3 linked regions of the Arabidopsis thaliana genome follow. The protein of the gene in region 1 interacts with the protein of each later gene in a pairwise test. Each region holds a gene or a part of one and is shown in the gene's direction. Other genes may lie near its edges.

Region 1 (7,640 bases):
AGATTGGTGATTGGACATATTATTGTGGTTCACGAACTAAGTGTTGTGGAAACAAGTAGAGTAGTCACCGTAAGTACTTGTTGAACACATCTCTCACAATTTCTCCAATTATATGGGAAACATTTATGTTTGTAATGAAATATGTCATATGAGTTATACACGAACCTCTTTTGTGTTTGTAATCTTCTATTTTATGGTTTGTAATAAAACGCCTTTGGTGGCACTTGAACTTATTTATGGGATTCTTGGAAAATGCATTTAAAATCTTCTTCCTAATCAAAACCAGAGATAATGTATTGGATTAGCTTGTCATCCTAATATGTGTGTGTGTGGTTATGAAGAACTCTATATGCTTTTGGTGATTTGGTTCCTTTGATGGTGGTTGATATTTCCTTGATTATATACCCAATTCATATCTCTAAACCAAGTGAATATTTTATTTTTGTTTTAACGCATCTCCAAGTAAATGTTTTTTTATTCCTAAAGTTTTCTCTAAAGAAAAAATAAATATATATAGAAATCTGTATTAACGAGTAATTTTGGGTTTAATAATACTTTTTAATGTTAGGTTTTAGTTGGTAACTTCATAAATTAATCCAAATTTTTTGAGATTTTCTTTGAATGTTATTATCTCAATACTCTCTTACTTTCTTTGGTCAAAATTATCTCTTTTAAATGATTTTTTTATCCTGTCACAAAAAAAAACATATCCTTGTTTTATTTAGCTTTGGAAAAAAAAACAAGAAACTTGATATATCTTTTCAGACATCACATACTCTGCTTCAATGGCTACATCTCTTCAAACCAAATACACTCTAAATCCCATCACAAACAACATCCCAAGAAGCCACCGTCCATCGTTTCTCCGTGTCACTTCCACCACCAACTCTCAGCCTAACCATGAGATGAAGCTTGTTGTTGAGCAACGACTTGTGAATCCTCCTCTCTCCAACGACCCAACTCTACAATCTACATGGACTCACCGGTTATGGGTTGCAGCTGGCTGCACCACCGTGTTTGTCTCTTTTTCCAAATCAATCATTGGAGCATTTGGTTCTCATCTCTGGCTCGAACCATCTTTAGCCGGTTTCGCCGGGTATATCTTAGCAGATCTAGGTTCTGGTGTGTACCACTGGGCCACCGATAACTACGGTGATGAGTCTACGCCTCTAGTAGGAATCCATATCGAAGACTCTCAAGATCATCACAAGTGTCCATGGACAATCACCAAACGGCAATTTGCAAACAATCTACATTTTATGGCTCGAGGCACAACCTTGATAGTTCTCCCACTAGACCTTGCTTTTGATGACCATGTGGTTCATGGCTTTGTAAGCATGTTTGCATTTTGTGTATTGTTTTGTCAGTTGTTCCATGCTTGGGCTCATGGAACGAAGAGCAAGCTTCCACCTCTTGTGGTTGGGTTGCAAGACATTGGGCTTCTTGTTTCACGGATACATCACATGAATCATCACCGAGCACCGTATAACAACAATTACTGCGTAGTGAGTGGGGTGTGGAACAAGGTTTTGGATGAAAGCAATGTCTTTAAGGCAATGGAGATGGTGTTGTATATCCAACTTGGGGTGAGACCGAGGTCATGGACCGAGCCAAACTACGAATGACGGAAGAAACCGACATATCCAAATGTTAGCCGTCACTTTTAGCTATATTCTTCGCTTTAAGTGGGAAAAACTCGATTTTTTAGCCGCGGCTTCGAGATTAATTTATATTTAGTTTAAGATATAATATGTCAAAAACCAAATGTTTTCTTTTACTTAAAAACATGTAGATCACAATTGTGATAGATTTGATAAGTTTAATATATCATTTTTGGGTAAATGTAACAATTTCTAAAATGTTTGCATTGTATGGAAAGTGATATTCAAGGTTTGTAGATAGGATATCTTTCTCCGTTATACATATTTTTTTTTTCTATGCGGATAATTGAGTCTCATCACTTATCGAGATATCTCTTTACATTATTGCTTTTACTCTGACACTCGGAAGCAAAAGTTTTGTTTGCTTGTTATATTGTGTAGTTGTGGACCTAAACAGTTTTCAGGATCCTAACGGAAGGTAACTAATTAAGGCACAACCTTATTTCATACCACCCAACCAAAGTTCAAATGTTTAATTTATATCTAATAATTTCTTATGCGTTAATATATACTTAATCTTTTAAATAAAATTAAATTACATACCTAATTTATCAAATTATATGCAAAATTATATATTCTGCTGACGTTAGATACCACATATTTGATGATAATGATGACATGAATGCCATGTTACTAATGACACCGTTGCCATGTCATCTAGATTATTTTTTAACAAAAACTACGTTAATCCAAAAATGTACTCATTGCTTTTCACCTAACATTTAAATAAACAAGAAAATAAAAATAGTTAGCACACCCACGTTGACATTTCAATTCCATGAATCATCCCATCTCGTTCCCATTCATTTCACTTAAAAGTCAAAAACCAAGTAAGCCGCAAAAGAAGATCATAAAACCCAAAATGACTTACACGCTTCAAAACGTTGACATAATAATGCCGTCCACACACTTATAAATACTTATATGTGTACACACAAAGCCATCAAGGTAAGACACTTCGCTTCAAATCATTTGTGTATTACAGAAACTTCTGATCGTCATGGAAGCTACTTCACAACCATGTTTCTCTCATAACTCCTCACTTCATTCGACCCGTAAGCAACCGGCAAAGCCATGGAAAAAACCCGTAACGGGCTTGCCTCAGAGGATGCATCCTAAAGTTTACAGAGTCGAGCCTGTTAACTTCAAGGAGTTAGTTCAGAGGCTAACTGGTGCAGAAGACGTTGAGCAAGAGGTACATCAAGTTGAAGCTAAACCAGTCAAGATTTCTGATGATACAACAACAGCTAAGGATAATCCGTTCGCGTTTGATCTTTCACCTTCGTCATCTCGGTTCTGGGAAGCTTTCCCTCTGCTTAGTCCTGCTAATCTATCAAGATGGTAGCAAGAAAGAAGCTATTCTTGCCAATTTTTCGGCAATTCATGAATTTGTTTCATCAGAATTAGAACTGTAGTAGTAACACTTTATGATCTTATCTTTAAATACAAAAGTTACTGTTACATTACAAAACTACAATTTGATATAACCAATGATTCAAAACCGACCTTTTCGAACATTTGTTTACGAAATTTACGCGCTACCTATTGATCCCAGTAGTTTCTCAGCTGCGACATGTGAAGAAGAAGCTCGTCTCTGCCTAAACCAGATACACTACTCGTCAAAATCCAAGGAGGATGTACTTTAAAATTCTCTCTAATGATTTGTTGGAAAGCTTTAATGTTCTCATCAGGTCTTTTCCCTTTCGTTGCTTTCATTTTATCGCATTTCGTAAACACGAAAGTCATCGGTACCTGAAAAATCATCGAAAAACGTCATTTAACAAGTCCTCAAAGCAACATTTCACTGAACACACAAAAGCCAGAATTGGTACCACATACATTGTTGCGACCAAGCCAATTAGCACAATCAAGATCAATCTTCTGAGGAGGAACACTTGCATCGATGAGAAGTAGAACACAAACAAGACTGTCTCTATTCAAGAAGTAACCTTTAGTAAACGCAGACCAATCTGTTTTCGCAGCATCTGAAACTTTAGCAAATCTGCAAATATATTCTCAACATCAAACAATAATAACGTTTATCTGAAAGCAAGATATCAACAAATACATATCCAAATCCACTATGTATCAGTTCAAACCGAGTTAGCCAACTCAACCGGTTCGGTTCGGAACCACCTTACTAAATTTACCAAAACTTAATTCTAAGTTTAAGTAAAATTACTAATAGACTATACTAAACTGAAATTTTATCCAAATGTACCAGTTCAGAACTAAGCCAATCGAACTACCAAACCAAAAATACCGAACTCTTATCCTAAATTTTACCAAAATGAACTGAAATATACCAAATTTAGCCAAAGAAAACTGATTGTTTTATCCAAAAGCAAGAGATCAAAACACATACCCATAACCAGGCAAATCCACAATGTACCAACTCTTATTCACCAAGAAGTGATTTATAAGCTGAGTCTTCCCTGTTTCACCAAATAAAAATCCAAACTTTCAGATTTCCAAAACTTAAAAGGTTCGATTTTTATAACCAAATTGAAAGGAATAAAAACACAAACCAGGTTTCTTAGAAGTAAGAGCAACTTCTTTCTTACGAACCAAACAATTGATAAGCGAAGACTTGCCAACATTAGAACGACCCAAAATCGCAATCTCAGGACGATCATCTTTAGGACAATCTCTAGCACGAGCACTACTTTTAACAAATTCAACTTCTTTGATTTGTGAATGACCCGCAAAAGGTCCGATTACGATATTTGAACCCGGAAGAACCATATCATCTGTTAGTTCCTCAATCTCTACACCAGGAGGTATGAATAACACTGACTTAGCGAATTTAGTCGCGTCGGAGATCGACCGATTCGTTGTTGTTGTTGGATTGTTCGTGGAGGCTGAGATTTTTGGGATGGAGATGAAATTAGGGTTACGAAATGATTGGAGAGTGTGGAATTTTTGAGATTTGGGTATTAGAGGAGTGAGATTTATCGTTAAGGATCGATATCGGAGAAGTAGCACCATTTTGTTTTGTGTGTGTTTTGGGTTTAGAACGAAGAAGATAGGGTTTTTAGAGTTTTAGACCAGAGTCGTTCCTTCTGCTTCAGACGGAGGCTTTCATATGCTGACATTTTTTTTTGTGTCAACAATAATATAAAAACAACTAGATTTTAACTAATTTTGCAATCAAGAATGTCATAAGTTGTGTTACTTACATATGTTTTGATCTAGCGCAACTTTTGTACACATGTTGGAGTACCAAACAAAATTTTCATCAAAGATAATTTTAGAAAAAAGGTCTATTTTCTCATAAAAAGTATCAGTAGATAGAGCTCATATATTTTAACTCTAGTTCATATGTCTATAAAATAAAAGTTTTATCCTTATTTTCTCCGAAATGAAAGTTCTATAACTTAATGTACTTCGAGTAAATAGTTCGAGATCTATAACCCACATAGCTAGGTTTAATCAGTTTACTGTATACTTTACCCATTGATAAACCAATTAAACTTAATTATAACCAATAACTTTGCAAAAAAACTTATTATAAGTTTGGAACTTTGTCTATATCTAGAAGTTGAATGTGCACTTGTAGGAGATATTGTGTCTACCTTTGGTGTATATTTTAAGACAGATATAACAAAAATTTCTTATTACAATTAGAAAATTTTACAGAGCTGTTTAAATTTGATGCTCAATTTCTAATTAAACTAGTTTTTTCTATTACAATTACAAATGATTGTTGACTACTCTATTCCATGCGCAAGAGGTTTTTCCCTCCGTTCGATTGAAGTGGGAGCTTTTCAAAAATATTTAGCTTCGCTCTCGTAGTTAACAGCTGCATTATGACGGCAGAGTCTCTACACTCTTTCAGCATAAAGACATGACTACATTAGTGATGGCTAATTATCATATGATTGTATATTACGAGACCATATACACAATCAGTCTGAAAATATAAATTTGGTTCTTCAGATTCGATCAAACATATACAGTAGTACTTTTGTGTACACGACGATATATCGATCTTTGCTAGTTATATGAAATAAATGTTTAGCAGTCTCTCAACTAATCAAACAAGCCAACATGTATTTTCAATAAAAAAGATTCCATGAATCCACTCTCAATTTTATAGTTTATTTATAAATATACGCGTACTTCATGTGTGTGTGTGTTTTTAATGAGTTTTCAACACATATATGCAACAACACTATAAAGTTTTTATTGTCAAACTTCTTAAACATACAACGACACTATAAACTTTTTATTGTCAAACTTCTAGTTCTACAATATATCATCCAAAATACATATAAATAATCACAATCATAACTATCTTGATCTTGTATGTGACAAATACTAATTAAGGATGACATAAATTACATAATCTTGAGCAAAAGTTTGTTAGAAATGAGTAAGTGAAAATCAAGGATGCTTCTTCTTCTGGGTATAGATGTAATCAGTATGAGCGACCAAAGTCCTCCTCATTAAGCAATCTTCGTCGTCTGCACCACAGTTTTCGTCTACCATATGCATGTCATCTAATTTTCCTTCTATCTTCTTCTCCTGCCAAAGTAATCATCATACATTACAAAAAATTTATTAAACCTATTCGATGTGTTAAATATTTTTAAAAATTTAGAAGCTCTGATATTGGTTATTTTGTGTTTATATATGGAAATTGATTCATGCATGGCATGTGAATCAGACTAACCATGTTACATGGATCGGCAGCAGTCGTGATAGAGATGGAGATGGCCGGTTCGGGGCGGGCAGTGCACATTAGCGTGGAGCAAAGGAGAAGAGCTATGGTGAGCAAAGCGGAGACGTTTGCCATTTTTGTGATATTTTCTTTGAAGGGAGAGAGATGCTTAAAGAAGATGTGTTGACGGGTTTGGCTTCTTTGAAACTCAAATTTATTTATAGCCAAATTTTAGTCAAATCTATTTTTGTTTTGTTCATTTATTTAGTTATTATATAACCCAAAAAGTGGATCTTATCGCACGTTGATAACCTCGAATTTTCTATTTTATTTATGGGTATCTAATTGTGGAGTTTGGTGGACTCATTAGTCTCATTTGAATGACCGATTAAATCGGAAGTTGAATTTAATTAAATATTTGTTTGCACTTGTGCATAGTGTTTAGCGGTGGAATTGGACCAAACCCATAAGAAAAGTAAATCAAAATATAAGTCGCAGCGTGTATGAAACGTGGGATGATAGAGTGATAAATGATAATCACCATCCACTTCTTAAAAGCATTGATTCCATATTAATATATTCAAAAGTTCTATGGCGTCACCTACCTACATTAGCAAAATATCATTTGACATGATATATGCAAATATAAACACTATAGATTCCACACGAATGCAATGGATCTACCGTTATATATGGTGTAGTTGTAGTTGATACAACTGTCAATATGGTTAGTGGACGTCCCTACCCGATTAGTGTGACATGGTGTTCTTATCATCCGTTTGGAACGCACCAAATTTAAAAGCGTGTATTGGAGAGTATATTACAAGTCGGTGTGTGACTAATCATATATATAACCCAAACCGTGTCAAATAAATCGGGGGAAAAAAAAACTGTAATCATAAAGAAATTTATGTACAATTTAATATCAGACACAGAGACTAACTATACAAGTATTATACATTTCCAAAGTTTCGGTGTTGACGTATATATATAGTTCACGAGACTGGTTTAGCTTTGGTATACTTGTATAAACTACTACTCTATGTTCGCTAGGACATAGCCATGCATGTCTCGTTGCTTCTATAAATTAATGCACCAAACTTCATAAAAATAAAATAAAATAAGAAATTATTGATTGGTTTGTGAGTTAACTTGTTGGATTGGTTCAACTAGCAAAACTAATTGAGAAAAAATCAAAAGTCTTTTGTTGTGTTAAATTCTCCATTAATCTCACTCTTAAATGAATTTTCTCAAAAACATTCAATAAATAAAAATCATAATAATGTACCAAGCACTACTTTCATTTTATTCTACTT
Region 2 (8,283 bases), on another chromosome or scaffold:
GTATGAAATCGACCATGACATGTGTATAAGTAGCTTCTGCTGTTTTCTATTTCATTAACTTTGGATAAAAAAACAATTCCGGCTGGTTTTCTGTAGCGACAGTTGAACTCGATAGCACCAAGCTACGACAGTTACTACGGTCCTCAGCAAGGCATCCATGGACAGGTACCTACATACCTATTCTCAATGCTTTCATAAGTTTTGTCAATCTTGTAACAAGACTGCCAAAAAAGTAAAATCTTACTTTGTTCTTTCTAGGGAGTAGATTTCTTCAGGCCTGCCAATTTTTCTTACGACATCCGGGTAACTATTGCAGTTGTAATAAAAGATCTTTCTTTTTCCTGTTTGTATCAATTGGTCATCTTAGTTCATGGTGATTTCTGTGCAGGATGATCCTAATGTGAGGACTACGCAGTTGCATGAGGACGCGTCTAGACACTCGTAAACAAAACTATAAGTTAACCACGAATCAAATCTTAAGAGTCGTCAGTCTGTGGATGAAAGATTCAAATCTCGGAGAACAAAAGCCAACGAGCACTAGGACGCGGTTAGGTTTGGAACAGAACATGAGCCAAAGCTCTGTTTTATCTTCTCAAGTGTTAAAAATAGGATGTTGTATTGTTTCGCCTTTATTCTCAGAGATTCGATTCTGTTAATATTGTTTGTATTAGTTCTGATGATCATATGTTTGATCATTTGACTGTTCGATTTAAGAGGTGAAGAAACAGTGTTACAAGAATATTCTCTATTTGTAAACTCTTGTTAATTCTCTTGATTAGGTTTCTCAAATTTGTATCTTGTGATTAATCTTGCCCAAATTACAAACAAAATTGTGGTATGCTATTGGCGGTTTGAATCTTGTTGAAGAGAGGAGAGAGGGTTACATAGTATAAATATAAAATTCTTTAAAATCAGAGAAGGATCATAAATTTATTATTATTATTTTTGAGTAATCATAAACAATTTTTCTCTTCTTTTGGCAAATAGAGCTTTTAGGCAAATTATTAAAATGTGGCCTAACATTCTATTTTGTATAGAAGAAATTATTTAAATACTGTTATTAAAAAAAACATTAATGAATAAATACGATTTAGTAATTTAATGTAAAAAAACAAACAAAAATTTCTATAAATGTTAAAGAGATGAATTTTGTTTTCAAAATAAAGTCCTAAAACACATTAAAAATGTGATATATGTAGAAAAAAAATGTGGCGTTTTATTTGATTATTTTTTAGTGGCCTAAGGAAAATGCTTTTTTTCTTACATATCAAGCAAGACTCTCTTGCAATTGAGACTCATTTTTCGTTTATTGTTCCAAAAAAATTCTGGTCACATGTAAAAACTTATTCTAATTTCTAGGTCATTCCCTACATTCAAACATAGTGTTTTTTTTTTTTTTAAACACTTCACAAACATTCGATACATTAGGTCCGATATGACACGTTTTGCTGCCTTAAGTTAAAAAAAGAAAGTCTATACTCTAAATCCTTAAAGATCGTACAATTGTACTCATAAACCCTTAATTAAAATGTACTTAAAATCTGAGATGTTTTGGTAAATAACAAAACACGGGGCTTTTGTTAATTTGGGTACTTTTTAGCCCAAAAATTAGAAAAAAGGAACATTTTTAATTGGCTTACGAAAATGGGTACTTGCTGATATATAAATGGACTATTTTGCCTCTGTCTGTTCTTCTTCTTCGTTGTTCATCTTCGTTTCTTCTTCTCTTTGTTGATTTTCTTCCTTTATTTTTCCAGAAAATTTCAATCGTTTTTAATCACGAAAATTAAACCCTAAGGTGATAGTATATAGAGAACCCAAACAACAAATTTCACGGATTTATAAGGGAATTTTCGGTTTTGGTATTGTGCATACATGCATATTTTTTTTTAAACAATCCTAAATTAACTAAAAGAATCTCGATTCTTCTGTAAATATCATCTAATTGGTGTTTTTGGTGGGCAATCTTCAGATCGAAAATCAAATATGCATTCCTCTCGGATGACAAATTTGCGATCTAGATTCAGTTTGCAAATTAAAAGTGCATATTGCTACTTGCTAAATTGAAAAAGGTAAAATAGATAATCAAAAGGAAATAAAGTACTCAATCTTGTAATCACTTTAAAAAATGCCGCATCCAACAATAGGATAAAGTTTTTTGTGTCAATCCCATAATTGATCCAACAAAACACCTCATATTTTATTCATACATAGACATTATCAAATGTCTGTCAAACGAAATCCCTTTCTTAGGTTGTTGTTTTATGAATCCCTAGGAAAACAATGCACACAACTCTTATATTTAATGTGAATAAAGAGATTTCGTTTAAAAACGAAATATAAAATAAGGAATAGTTTATGTTTATAAATTCTAAAATAAAAAATTTAATCTTATTCTTACACTAATAAAAGGGGTTGTGTGGTAGAGAAAAAAAAACAAAATTAATGTTCTTTTTCTATACTACACAACCTTTTTTTTAGATTTTTTTCTCTACCACAAAACCGCTTTTATTAGTGTAAGAATAAAATTAAATCCCTTATCTCGAATTTATAAACGTAAACTAATCCTTATCCTATATTTCGTTTATAAAAGTATCGATTTTTTCAATACACCCTAAACTTTACAAAGTTTTAGTTCATAACAAAATTTCCATGGAAAGTACTCTCCCTCTTTACATGTCTATTATATATTTGATGGATGCAGAATTTGTAACAAACAGAAGAAAGAGAAGGATGATGTAGTTCCTATTACGCATCGCAACGTCAGAATCAGATTATGGTTTTCTTTGAAATTTCTCACTAGTTTCCTTTTCGGTCGTCTTTTCATTCCAAAGTCACCTAACCAGTCAATTAATTTGTGTCCACTCATTCTTAATAAATTACGTAAATGATACATACACATTATGAAAATACTAGTAGTAACTAATCTTTCTTTAGTTTATTAACCACACTAGATTTAAAGAATCATTATCTTAACTAATTAATAGCCCTCAAGGGTATAAGAAACTTCACATGACATATCTTGAATTTCCTACGAAATTTGATAATACAAACACTTTTCTTAACATCATATGGTTACAACTATTCTTAGCTAGCTACCAAGCTCTTGAATCTTTTTGTTAATGACCTTCTAATGTCTTGACTATCTATGATCATACATAGATAATATTCCTTAATAATCGGCTTGAACAATGACAAATACAAAGAGATCTCCCAATTGCTTCTTTTAAGAAAGTGGTTCCACAAGTTGTAATCAACAATATTTGGAAGCAGAGAAAGATTTGCCTTCACAATCTTCTTTTGGTTCATGTCGCAACGATCTTCAAAGAAACGGATATATTGGTTCGCAATATATACAATCACAGCCGAGAGTGTATCATATTTTATTTACGTCGATATTTAAATATGATACCCATGTATAATATATAGCAAATGTCATGTCGTTATTATCGTACGACCGTCGTTATTTAATTCGTGCCATATAATATGGCTACTACACTAAGCATATTAAGTACCTAGTGTGCTATATAGAACGGCTACTACACTAAGCACTAAGCAGGCAAGAAGCAACGTTATTATGAATATCTTAACGTTTCGTTAAGAAATGTATATGCCGTCAGCTTTGTGACGATTATGTAAAGTGAGGGACTTGTTAAGTATTTCAACAAAAGCATACAAATACAGTGAAATGGGCCAATTTCGTCAACTTGTTGGGAAAGTAGCCAATACCAAACTAAACTCTAGTTTATTGGTAAGACTCAACTAATTGTAACTTCGTGAGGTCTATTATTTTATTATTTTCCAAATCATGATATTATCGAATCAAATTAAACATTGTATTAATAAAGTACGTAAAATAGTTACAACCTTTTTTTTTTGGCAATTAAGAATGAAATGTAAAGCCAAAAAATCAACGTGTAATTAAATATCAACGGTCAGGATTGATATAGAATAGTCTTTCCTTTGACTAAGTCTTAATCAAAACACAATCAAATAAATATATAAAGAACTAACGAAGGCAAATGCTTTTTTCTTTCTTACAATCTCACGGAGTCTTGTCTTTAGACACACACAAAAATGGCTAACCCCAACGAGTGGTCTCAGTTCTACAACAATAACCAAACCTTCTTCACAACTTCTACCACCGCTTCAACCGCTGTTACAACCACCACTGCCGGTGATACCACCTCCATAGACTCTCGTCTGAGTCCAGAAACTGGCCGTGTAACCAAGCCAACACGTAGAAGGTCCAGAGCCTCACGTAGAACACCAACAACGCTTCTCAACACCGACACTTCCAACTTCCGTGCCATGGTTCAGCAATACACTGGCGGTCCATCCGCTATGGCTTTCGGGTCCGGTAATACTACTTCTGCTTTTAGCCTCACTTCATCGTCGGATCCATCAGCTGGATCTTCTCAACAAGCTCCTTGGCAATATAATTTCCAGCCTCACGCGCCGCTTCAGCCACCGCAACGGCCTTACATGTTTTCTTTGAACAACGTGAATCCCGTGGTTGGATATAGTAACATGAACAACCCTAATACGATGGTTTCCGGTGTGTTTGGGACGGTGGATGGTTCTGGTGGAGGAGGTTCTGCTCCGTCGTCAAAGGAGGCTACGAATAGTAATTCTTCTTCTTCGAGGTTGCAATGAGAAAACGATTGGATTCTTTTTGAATTTTTTTTTTTTGGTTTTCGCATAAAGGCAGAAATGTTAGGTACTGACTTTCTTTGTCATAGAATGAAAACTTTGACTTTTTGTATATTTAAGTTTTTTTCTTTCATATTTGGAGATTTTATCTTTGTTTTAGGTTTTTAGCATAAGTTTTTTATTTAATTATGGCGTTATCATGGACCTAAATAGGCATATAATTCAATGCTGAAGTTGCATGCTTGCATTTTCAAACTGCAAATTGTCGATTAGAAAAATAAATAAAAATGTTTTCCAAACAAATCCTTATATTTTTTTAATCTCAAGAAAATAAATTATTATTCATAGATTAGATGGAATTTATACTTCTAATAATTTATTAGACTTAAAGTTCAATTAAAACTAGAACACAATCACATATACAAGAAATCAAACATTTTCACGTGAAGTTCTCAAGTGCATGTGCAAAGATATAATTCTCATACATTAGTCAAAGAATGCATATAAAACGTGCATAAAATGGAGGAAATTGGCAATTAGCTTATCTCAAAGTTTTGTATTCTTATTGGATAGAATAGTTTCAGATACATGAAATTAATGTGAATGTAACTTTACCAAATTAGTGCAATAATTGAGAATATCGAGCTTTATAATGTAACTTTTTCTCATGGCACCGCACAATATATTTTCATATGACTTGTCGAAAGAAAAACAGTGATTAGCCATTTCCTTTTCACAAATTATTCGGCTTTAAATTCTGAAACTTACTAAAATATATTGAGGGACCAGAATAATCTTTAACAGTAAAATATGGAGAAAATTAGTCTATTGGATCATATAGAAAACCAAACTTGCCTTTCGTTCGGAAACAAGGAGATATATAGTGTTTTGGTGAAGTTAGGCTACCAACATGTCTAGATTCTTACGTTATCGTTTTTTTTCTTTTCCTTTAAATCCCTCGACCTAATATTGATTATGATTGTAATTTGTATTTATGATTTAGACTGAGACGGGTCTTTGACGTAAAATCGATCGATGTAATATAGAGTTTGGCAAATAAACCAAAGCCTCGCATTCACAATGGATAACTTATGAGTATATGTCTTTAGATTTTTTTTTTTTTTTCTTTGGCATTTGTCTTTAGATTTTAGATTCTTACGATAAGTCCACAAATTAAACGAAAGAGAATAATTTAGCATGCCGTAGTCGTGTTTCTTGTAGATGATAAAGATATAAATAATATAAAGGAATAATAAATTGACAATATGACAAAAAATGAGTAAGAAATGGATTGGGAAGAGGGGATGAATCTCAACACATTGTGGGTCCTATATATATACCCCCTTACAGTGAAATTTCACTTTATTTTGCATTTCTTAAGTTTACATTTTGAGTTCAATAACCACTTACAAAACATTTTTAAAGACTAAGAATCTTTATCTTTAAAGATTCGTATGTTGTAACTAAATTATATATCACTACTCCACATCAGTAATGTTCATGTTTCAAATGAGTTCATGTATTCTACAAAATGAATTAATTTTCTAATTTCATCATCAATGAATATTTACATTATTAGCAAAAAAAAAAATTAAATTTAATAAATTAGTAAAAAACAATATGTACAGAAATATAAAGTTCATTCAAGTTCAGTAATACTAATATTTTGATAAATTATAATGTTTATGTATCATGTAAAATTAACTTATGAAAATTATATTGAAAAGCTTTAAAATACCTGTTTAACAATTAGACTAGCAAGTGATTGGAAACACATTGTTGGTTTGAATTGAACTTTCTAAAATTCTTTCAACTACCAGTTTTTAGAGTAGTTGTATCAAAAATGCATGTACTTTTGTATATAGATATTTCTTATAAGTTTATGTAGTGGTGGACTAGTGGTTGTACTCTAGTTTTTAGATGGTCATGTAATTTTCAAACTCCTCATTTGGTATTTGACTATAAATCACATGTGTAAATCAAAATATAGGCTCTTCCACCACATTAAAATGTGTATATAAATAAAATAAAATTGTAAAAACTCTATGTTTAAATTAGGCCATTATTTTTAATTTTCTTTATTTAATTAGGCAATAATTTTGCTGTTTATAATCACTTTTTATATAATTAGGCAATGATTTTGTTATATAAATTTATTTTTGTTTTGTACAAAAAATAAAAATCCAATTCCATTCATCATTTGTTTAAAGATTTTAAATTATGAAAAAATGAAAATAATTATAATATTTAAAACTTTAAGTATACACGAGAAGATGCCTAGAGTGAAGATGAGAGCAAGGAAACTACAATGATGTTGGTTTATCTACATTTCTTTGTTTCCAGTTTCTCCTCTGCCTTCTTTATGATTAGCTTGTAATAGTGTATACAAAGACCAAACTGCACAATGGGTTTAAATCTCCATCTCCTGTCGGGTCGAGTTTCGATTCCAGTCATGACTAATGGTGTTAGAACAATTACTGAAGACAATGATGAACAAGAGTGTTTATCACCATAAAGAGTTGCTTCTATGTCACCAACAAAAAAGCTTCAGAAAGCAAAGAAATGAGAGTTTTTGAAGGCTTACTCACTTTTTAAGGCCTTGAATCACCTCTTGCTTTTATCTCCATGTTCTGTGAGAGCTAAAGAGTTACTGGCACTCTTCACTCATCCAATTCCAAACTTGGAGTAACAGTTGGCAATGTTGTCAGAAACGAATCGCCTCTCATATCTTTAGCCAAACCGTCGATTACATCATAAATCTCACTAGAATGAGGATGCTCTTGATCTCTAGACACAAAACAGTTGACGTAACCTGCAATTTCAATCCCACTACGACCAACTTCTTTCTTTAAACCTTTTTCTCTCATTCCTCTCCTCACCTTATCAACGCTCTTCCATTTTTGTTCCTCAGCATACATATTCGAGAGCAAAACCTCATACCCGGAAAAGTTCTTCCCTTTATCAAATTTAGCCAACCTCTCCGAAACAGTTTCAGCAAGCTCAAGCTCACCGTGTAGTTTACAAGACCCGAGTAGTGAACCCCATAGCTCAGCTATGTTCCCTTCTTCACCAAGTCCTTTAACAAACTCGTAGGCTTCATTCACCCGCCCAACTCTCCCCAACATATCTGTAATGCAGCAATAGTGCTCACTTGAAGGCTGAATGTTATAAACTTCTCTCATTTCCTCGAATATTTTGAGACCTTCATCTATTAGACCTGAATAGCTGCAAGCTGATAACACTGCAACAAAGGTTATAGCATCGGGTTTGATTCCCGACTCTTGCATTGAGAGAAACAGCGAGATAGCTCTCTCGCCCATTCCATGTTGGCCATACCCCAGTATCATCGTGGTGTATGTCACAGAATTTCTCTCTTTCGTTTGAGAAAACATGTCTTCTGCATACTTTATTGCTCCTGCCTTTGAATACATATCTACTAACGCAGAAGCCACAAATACGTTCTGATCCAAGTATTGCCTGATAGAGAAACCATGGAGCTGTTTACCCAAGTCAACACTACCTATTTGGCTACAAGCAGGGAGAATTGATGCCACAGTTACCGCATTGGGTCGTATATTCTGTTCTAACATCTTCCTGAACACTAGAAACGTTTTCTCTGTGTGTCCATTC
Region 3 (7,850 bases), on another chromosome or scaffold:
GGTGGATGCATTGTCATTTCAAATGAATAAGCCAATTATCAAATCATGAAGTTTAGAGATTTATGAACTGGTTTACAAAAAAAAAAATATAAAAAAATAAGAGATTTATGAACTATCTTACCAATAAGAAAATGGCTACCACATTTGTTAAGAATATACCGAGAGGTTGTATGGGATGACAATATGAGATTAGCTAAGCACATTACTGGATGGATCAAAGTTTAGAATTGTTGTATTTTAATATGTCCATGGTTCTAAGGACTAGATCTATATGACACTACATATTAAGAAATACAACAAGAAATGTTTTTGAAGAAACAAGAAGAAGTAATATCTCTATAATTGAAATATATACGGTTTGATGACATCGAGTGGTTTTACCTGATGTCGCCATATTATTTCACAAATCCAATTTGAAATTAAAGGATGATTCTCTTTATCCCCAAATCGTCTAAATGCATGCAAAATGACAGCTTTGCATCGAATGAGAATATAATTTTATCAAACTCTGTAAGATTATTCGCTCTTTGTTACAATAAGGTCTACGATCAACGTACGGGATTCTTTGTACCTTTTTTCTATCAGTCTCGTGGCCTCTATTTTATATACAAATATTCTATGTACATTTCTGCATGTTTTATAAAGTCAAACTTAAAAAGTCAAAACACTTATGTCAAAGAAAGATAAACTAACTAAAAGTCAAACTTCTAACACATGCTATAACTAATGAATTTGTTGAAAACTAATTATGACATGCATGGTTTGGTTGTGACTAATGGTCGTTATGTTTAGTATTACACAAGGGTTTATCTTCATCCAAATATTAACAATACAAAGAAAATCATTCAATCCACTCATCAAGTTTTGTGTTCCATTTTGGTACTTAGTAATGGACTAAATGAAAAAAACAAAAATTGCTGAATTTAGAACCAAGATCAACAAAAATAGTTCGCATAGAGTAAAAACATATTCCACATATATTACTTTACAAATTTGAAACCAGTTGAAAGACTATTTATGTTGATCAAATTTTTTATCCACATTTTTTGCTTCATGATTATAACACCATATCAATAGGAATCACATTTCCAGTCTCTATTCCATCCCCATCATATTTAAAGGAAGACTTCCAATCCAATCCTGATAAGTATAGATCAGGCAAACTGATTGTGTTTCAGACTAGTGTGGATATCGAATCCGTACTTAATAATCTATAAATTTTTGGTCTCGTAATACAAATTATATATTGAATCGCAGAGCAGTAATAAATAGCAAATAGTTTTTTTTGTATTGATCGTAATAGTATGTTTTTACTACAACAATAGTCCATCTCCTTTACAATTCATCAGCTCCTCTATTTATAACACTCCTGAAAATCATTTAAGGTAAAATGTTAATGTAGTATGCGCCACATATCACTTTTTAAAGTGTTTACAAGATTAGACATTTTTTACTTTGAATTATCGAATTTAGTTTATCTTTCTCAACCTAGCAAAAATTCAAGTTTAAATACAAAAATAAGTATCAATCAAAAATTCGTCAAGATGTGTGGATGTTGAGTATAGTTTAATTTGTAGTAGAAAAGTGGGAAATAAAAAGAAGACAAGTGAACTAAAATTTCCGACCCAAAAACAATGTATCCATTAAGCTTAGTTTAATGAAAACCATTTACACGCATTTGTATAACGTGAAACAAGAAACTGACATGCGTGATCATATGTTTATATTAGGAAAATGCTGTTGCTTGAAGCAAGTAAAAACTGTTTTAGAAATAAGTTAATTTTAAAGCATATTAAAATAACAAAGAAATGTACGTACAAACGTAAGGGACAACGAACAGACAAAAAAAACAAACAGTAGATGGGAGAGATCCGAGGTGTGTAAGAAATATTGAAATAAAGGCCAAATTTTATTGAAAATTGAATCGGTCCTTCAAGTAGTAGTATTAATTTATTTGAGTTTTTCTTTCCCGACGCATAATAATTTGGTTCCATTAAATATGACAGTGCCTAAACAATAACAATAGGCAGAGTTAGATCCAAATGTTAGCTACATGATGCAATAGTACGCGTGCGGTGGTGTGTTTACGCGTGATCCTATAATCTCGAGGTCTCAGCTTTTCCAATTTAAAATTCTATATAAGTTTTGGCTTGTGACTTGTTGCTCGGGCTTTCATCCGTACAAATGTGTTTACTTCATCTTACCTGATGATATTTGGGCTCATTTTTGGGCTTACCAGGATTACTGATAGCATCTGGACCAGATTTTTTCTTTCTTTCTTAATTTCTAGTTAGAACCCATAAGGAAATATTTGTGTGTTACAAGCTAACATGTGGTGTTGCACAAGATTTTGTTGGTGCATATTGTGCATCAAATGGAGATTCTAGTTAAAACTCACTAGAAAAATTGAATGAAAACTGCTAAAAAAAACGAAAAAAAAAAAAAAATTACAATCTAAGCTAAGGAAAAAGGACTACAAGAGTGGTTTTGGGGTTGGATTAAGTTTTTTATTTGTTTTCGATTCTCTGGGTATGGTAAGCCCTTTGAATAAGATGATAAGTGTGAGTTATATCATGCTGGTGAAAGTATATTATAATCTATGTATGTACCAACTAGTAGTTGCTAATAGGTCTTTAACGGATCGATGAGGACAAAGAGGCTGACTTTGTAAGTCTTGTGACTCTTGTTATTTCACAAAACTATTTTGGTTTAACAACATTGATACAAAACAAAAACAAAAAAACTATTTTGGTTTAGTAATGGAAAGTTTAATATGTACAAAAAGGCTTTTGACTTTTGATAAACAATAAGTGTTTTACAAGTTGTGTTCGATTTCTCATCGGACATGGAGTATTATAGTTAATTAAGCGGACAAAAAAACAAATATATTTTGTATACTTGTAGTTAGGAAACTGTGTTAAATAGCCCGAGCTACTTGTTAGTTGTTGCAATCATTGAACGTATCGATGATTGTTAGCCGAAACTCGTACATCTTTTTTTCTCGAAGAAAAGAAGTTTCATACATTTTTTCATTACAGAACATTTATCTTCTTTTCAAGCAAAAATTCAGAGTAGGAGGATATTGATATTCACATACAAGAAGCTCAATTAGCCGATTCTGTCTAAAAATAGGTACGTAAGATTTTAAATTGCCCAATTGCAAAAGAAATATCGTCTGTTGTTTATTTATTTCAACAGGGTGAATTAATGTATATATACAAGAAAACAATGTCCATGATATAATTTATAATACCCAGCAATTTGGGGATAACAAATAGATTAATGGTTTCAGCTGCCTGTAAGTAGGTTTAATTATTTATTTTATACTTTTAAAAGCCGATAGTTTTGAACATTTTCATAAATTTCTTATTACGTAAAAGGAGAGAAGTAAATCCATTTCAACCATCTGCAGCCAACCTTGCATGGTCACAGCCAGTAATATTCAAAGATGACCAAATATGAAGACATCTCCACCAAAATAATATTGCAATTTATTTCTGAAATAACTAAAATCGCTTGAACTATATTTTAAATTTTTGAAGAAGTGGAAAAGTTGCAAAGGGGAATGCTTGCAATTTCATATAAAAAAAGAGCAATTCAAGATTTTCGGCCCTTGAGTTTTTGATGTGTTAGAAATTAATAATCAACAGGATATACCTGAGGCATGTTATAATACTATTCAACGACAACGGCCGTTTTACTATAAAACTGTAATCGTAAATAAATAAAGTCAACGGTCAGAATCGTTGGCTGCAATAAAATACGATTTATTTAGTTTTAACCATACTTACACGCAAATGTAATTCTACATATATACGTATTATATCAACAAGAACTCTGTTTATTTTCAAAGCTTTCTTGATCTTTCATTCTCCATTCTCTTGATATATTCACCTACCATGATTCCAACAAGATGCAATGAGATCAACGGCTCACGTCCTTCGTCGCTAAAACTCGCCGGAGAATCCCACACCATCAAGAAAACGTCGTCTTGCAAGTCGAAGCCACGACCACATGGACGGGCATCTCCGGTTATCATCTACGCGCATTCTCCAAAAGTGATCCACACGCGTGCCGAAGACTTCATGGCCCTGGTTCAAAGGCTGACGGGTCTAGACGAGATTATTAGACGGAACACTAGTGAATCTTCCTCTTCTGTTGTGACGGAAGAGGTTAACGTCGGGGATGATAACACGGCGGCTCCGTTTAGTCAGGATAGAACACAACGACAGAAGTTAACTGATATGCCGTTGTTCACACCGAGCTCGATGACCTTGTTTGGTTCTCCAACTCAACTTATGTATATGTCACCGAACCGGACCGATTCATTTCGACCCTTGGTTTTTAAGTCCGAATAAGACTTCTTAGCAAAAAAAAAAAAAAGTTCCAATAAGACTTCCCATAAAATATGCTTTTATGATTTCTATTTTATATGTATACAATTGGTTTGTTCATTCGTTCGTTCATAAGTTGTTTCACTGTGATTAGTTGGTGTAAATGTCACTTAACTTTACAAACTAAAAACAATGTCACTTAATATCTGTATTTGGTTGTTTTAAACATGAAAGTTAAGGGTTTACCTGTTCTTTTTACATAAATTATTCCATAAATCTCAGCGACAACGTGTGGGCTTCAACAAAATATTTGAAGACCAGAAATGCATTATTGGGCTTCGCATTAAAATGAGCTTCAAGCTCATCTTAGAAAGTTTTTCTAATGACGGTCTATGTGCCATCTTAACAATTCTTTGAGGAAGTTTTATAACTAGAAAAAATGTAAAACTGAAGGTGGAGATGAGTATTAGTTATTTTTATTGATTTCTAGTAGCCTCCCCAAAGTAAAACAGTAGTAGAAATTTTGGAAACATTAAAACCAAGTAGAAAAAACTGGAAACTAATGGCATACAATTAAATAAATTGTGTTTTATTTTGTTAAGTGTAGCATGTTCACCTCAACAAATTGATAGTTCATCTGAAACTGAGACCATCAGGAGAGGCTAAAAAAAGAGTCCTTTTCTTGATATAATTTTGTTATAGACCTTTAGGGCCCTCTTCCTGAGCCCAAATAACTTATTAAAACATATTTATCTCTATATTTGTCATATATAGATCCTAGGCCCGTTATCAACATGCCATGTTGACAAAAAAAAAAAAAAAAAATCATTCATGCCACTATGTTTTTTCCCCCCACTATGTAATCATGATATTGATTTCCTCATCTACTTACAATTCTTGTATTTGTTTTCTTTTTTGTTAGTCCACAAATCTACATCTACTTTTCGAAGTGACACTCCAATAAATAATTACATTCTCTTTTCAAATCTTCAATGAATATTGACTCTAAACTGCATGGTGTACCTACATGCAATATTCCAAAAATGAAAGAAGTATTATGAAGAAAGAGCCATTGGAAATTTCATGAAAGAAGTATTTAACTTGGTCAACTAGTTGGCCATCTAAATTGGGTAATCTCATGGGTTACAAAAATGTTTCATGTTTCATATCAATTAAAATTGGAAGCATTTTTGTTTAGAGGTTGAGAATTTTTTTTATTGTTTTTACCTTTTAATGTTAAGTTTTCTAAAACAGTATAGTTTTAAATTGGTCCGACTACCCAGTCCGATACAGTTTTTAAATTGGTCCGACTAGCCAGTCCGATACAGTTTTTAAATCATTGTTGTAAAGCAAAAAACATTATGCCATCTTAACTCGAAATCACTTTTCCAAACAACCCGGTTCACTTACTTCCATAGAACACGAAACATACGAATATCTTTCATAATTCAAAAAGCAGTCGGGTGTAAAATGTAAAACTAACTTTCCCTGGAAACAGAAATCACATTTGTTTGGGAAGTCTGTCAGTTGGGCTTTGGCCCAATTGGTTTACCTGGTAGTCAGAAATGCAGGCGGCCTGACTACCCCCTGGCATTAGTCGGAAATCATCCAAACTCGGGATAGACAGTGTGGTGGTCCTTCGGGGAGAAGTCCACTTTGAAGTACTTTGGTGCGTTTCTACCGGGGCTAACCGGATCAGCCGATAGGGTTTATCAAAAAAAAAAAAAAAAAAAAAAAGTTGTAAAACTAAAGCTTTTTTTTTGTTAATTATATGCTTGAAGAGAATTGTTTGCGTGCAAATGTGAACCACACGAATAAAGAAACGTGGCTCCCAAAACGTCTCGCACATCCTTAGCTTTTCACTTCCCTATAATGTGTTTCGATCAACACGTTTCTGTCTTCTATACGAATAATTAATTGTCGTGTAATTTGATGATTTGAGTAAATTAATCATATTGAAATATACGATAATAACAATAATACATATGTGTTCAATTAAAATCAGATCAATTATTTAACTTTTTTTGAAGAGTTTTTTCTTGTTCGGGCAGAAAAAAAAAACTCATCTGCATGAACGGGCACTACTCGGGTTACTCCACCGTAGGTATGAAAGTTCTGGTTGATCGATTCAGGCATGAAATTCCCCGGAATAACTATCTGATCTGTATTGTGACATCTACACCAAGAAGATTATGATGAAAGAAATGTTTGGCCTATTTTTAAAAATAAAGTCGGATTGGTTAATCTTTTTTTTTTTTTTGGGTTTTAATGTTATGGTTATCTTTTCAAGTTTCTATTATGTTAGTATAATATATATCCTGAATTATCTTCAATATTATATTTGTTCTTTTTGTGATTTCTGACTTTCTGTCATATTTTAATCACATCACTTAATTCCAAACCTATTAGAAAACTCGTAACCAGCCACATTGGGTAGTGGCTTCACTTCACATGGAGCCAGAGAACAAGTGAACTAGTAACCGACCAAACACACAAACACTTTTATTAATCTGACGCTGATTTTTATTCAATCAAAACTAAAATTTTAAAATAAAAATCGCAGAGAAGCAAACAGACAAATTATTTACAAAACGTTGCGTCGTTCTCATTAATCTTTAACACTTCTTTTTGGCGTTGAATCTTTCGTCCGTCCTCTTAACTTTAAGACAAAACCGTCCCAACCAATATTTTCTCTCGTCAAGGATTCCATCAGCCCGAGATAAGGACGTCAGCGTCCCACCAAGTCTCAGCCTCACATTCCGTCAAGTCCGTCAACACACCGTTAAACTTCCTCAAATCTCCCACGGCTATCTCTCCGCTAACATCATCCCTGACGTATACTTTCTCCACACCACCGGTATCAACTCCGATTATATTCCCTAACAACCGCCCCGGCTGCCTCCACTCCGCGAGCAAAGCCGGCATCCGAAAACCGGCGCGTGGATCACACGCCTTCACTTTAACGGCGTCAACACCTTTTTTCTCCGCCGCCCAAAAAAACGGTGACGAGGTTGAGTTATAGTTCTTGAGAAACGTTGCCACAACATTCTCATGATCATCGCCATCGATATCTAAATGATCCCAAAGCTTCACGACTCCACTCGAACCAATCCCACCAAGATCAGGCCATGAGAACAAATCTCCAAAACTACCACTATATCGCCTCCCCATCCATGTGCAATTACCATTGTCTCCCTGATCATCATCATCATCGTAATAATCAGATCCTCTAACGCGGAAACCTCCGTTGACTCGTCTTCGATTAAAGATCGAGTCAACATCCTCATCTTCATCATCAGCCTCATCTTCTTCGTCTTTTTCATCGTCAGAGGAGACGGTAGAGGAACAAGAAACATCGGAATCGCTATCGTAATCATCAAAAAGAGTTGGAGAGGAAACAGAGACATCTATTTTTCTTAACCTAACAACTAGACTGTTGAGTTTACTAACAAAGTTGGTGAAATAAGCTAGAAATGCGATAATCAAAGCTCCCCATTTCCAAAAACCATAAGCTTG

What was found. The genes of interacting proteins can lie anywhere in the genome.
Region 2: the proteins of AT2G22880 (region 1) and AT3G22160 interact in a two-hybrid assay, tested with the Arabidopsis thaliana proteins (one study listed by BioGRID).
Region 3: the proteins of AT2G22880 (region 1) and PDE337 interact in a two-hybrid assay, tested with the Arabidopsis thaliana proteins (one study listed by BioGRID).

The regions. Positions count from the first base shown.
Region 1 is NC_003071.7:9,736,485-9,744,124, reverse strand, and holds AT2G22880 (VQ motif-containing protein), read left to right. Parts: upstream 1-2,661; coding exon 2,662-3,006; downstream 3,007-7,640. Other genes in the region: AT2G22890 (Kua-ubiquitin conjugating enzyme hybrid localization domain-containing protein), read left to right, coding at 786-1,625; EMB2001 (P-loop containing nucleoside triphosphate hydrolases superfamily protein), read right to left, coding at 3,204-3,413, 3,501-3,663, 4,027-4,096, 4,190-4,649; PSK2 (phytosulfokine 2 precursor), read right to left, coding at 6,048-6,188, 6,337-6,459.
Region 2 is NC_003074.8:7,814,521-7,822,803, reverse strand, and holds AT3G22160 (VQ motif-containing protein), read left to right. Parts: upstream 1-3,818; 5' UTR 3,819-4,077; coding exon 4,078-4,656; 3' UTR 4,657-5,025; downstream 5,026-8,283. Other genes in the region: FHY3 (far-red elongated hypocotyls 3), read left to right, coding at 97-165, 259-303, 389-445; AT3G22150 (Tetratricopeptide repeat (TPR)-like superfamily protein), read right to left, coding at 7,314-8,283. UniProt on the Arabidopsis thaliana protein: May function as positive regulator of plant growth.
Region 3 is NC_003070.9:25,658,229-25,666,078, reverse strand, and holds PDE337 (VQ motif-containing protein), read left to right. Parts: upstream 1-3,802; 5' UTR 3,803-3,899; coding exon 3,900-4,358; 3' UTR 4,359-4,592; downstream 4,593-7,850. Other genes in the region: AT1G68440 (uncharacterized protein), read right to left, coding at 7,044-7,850.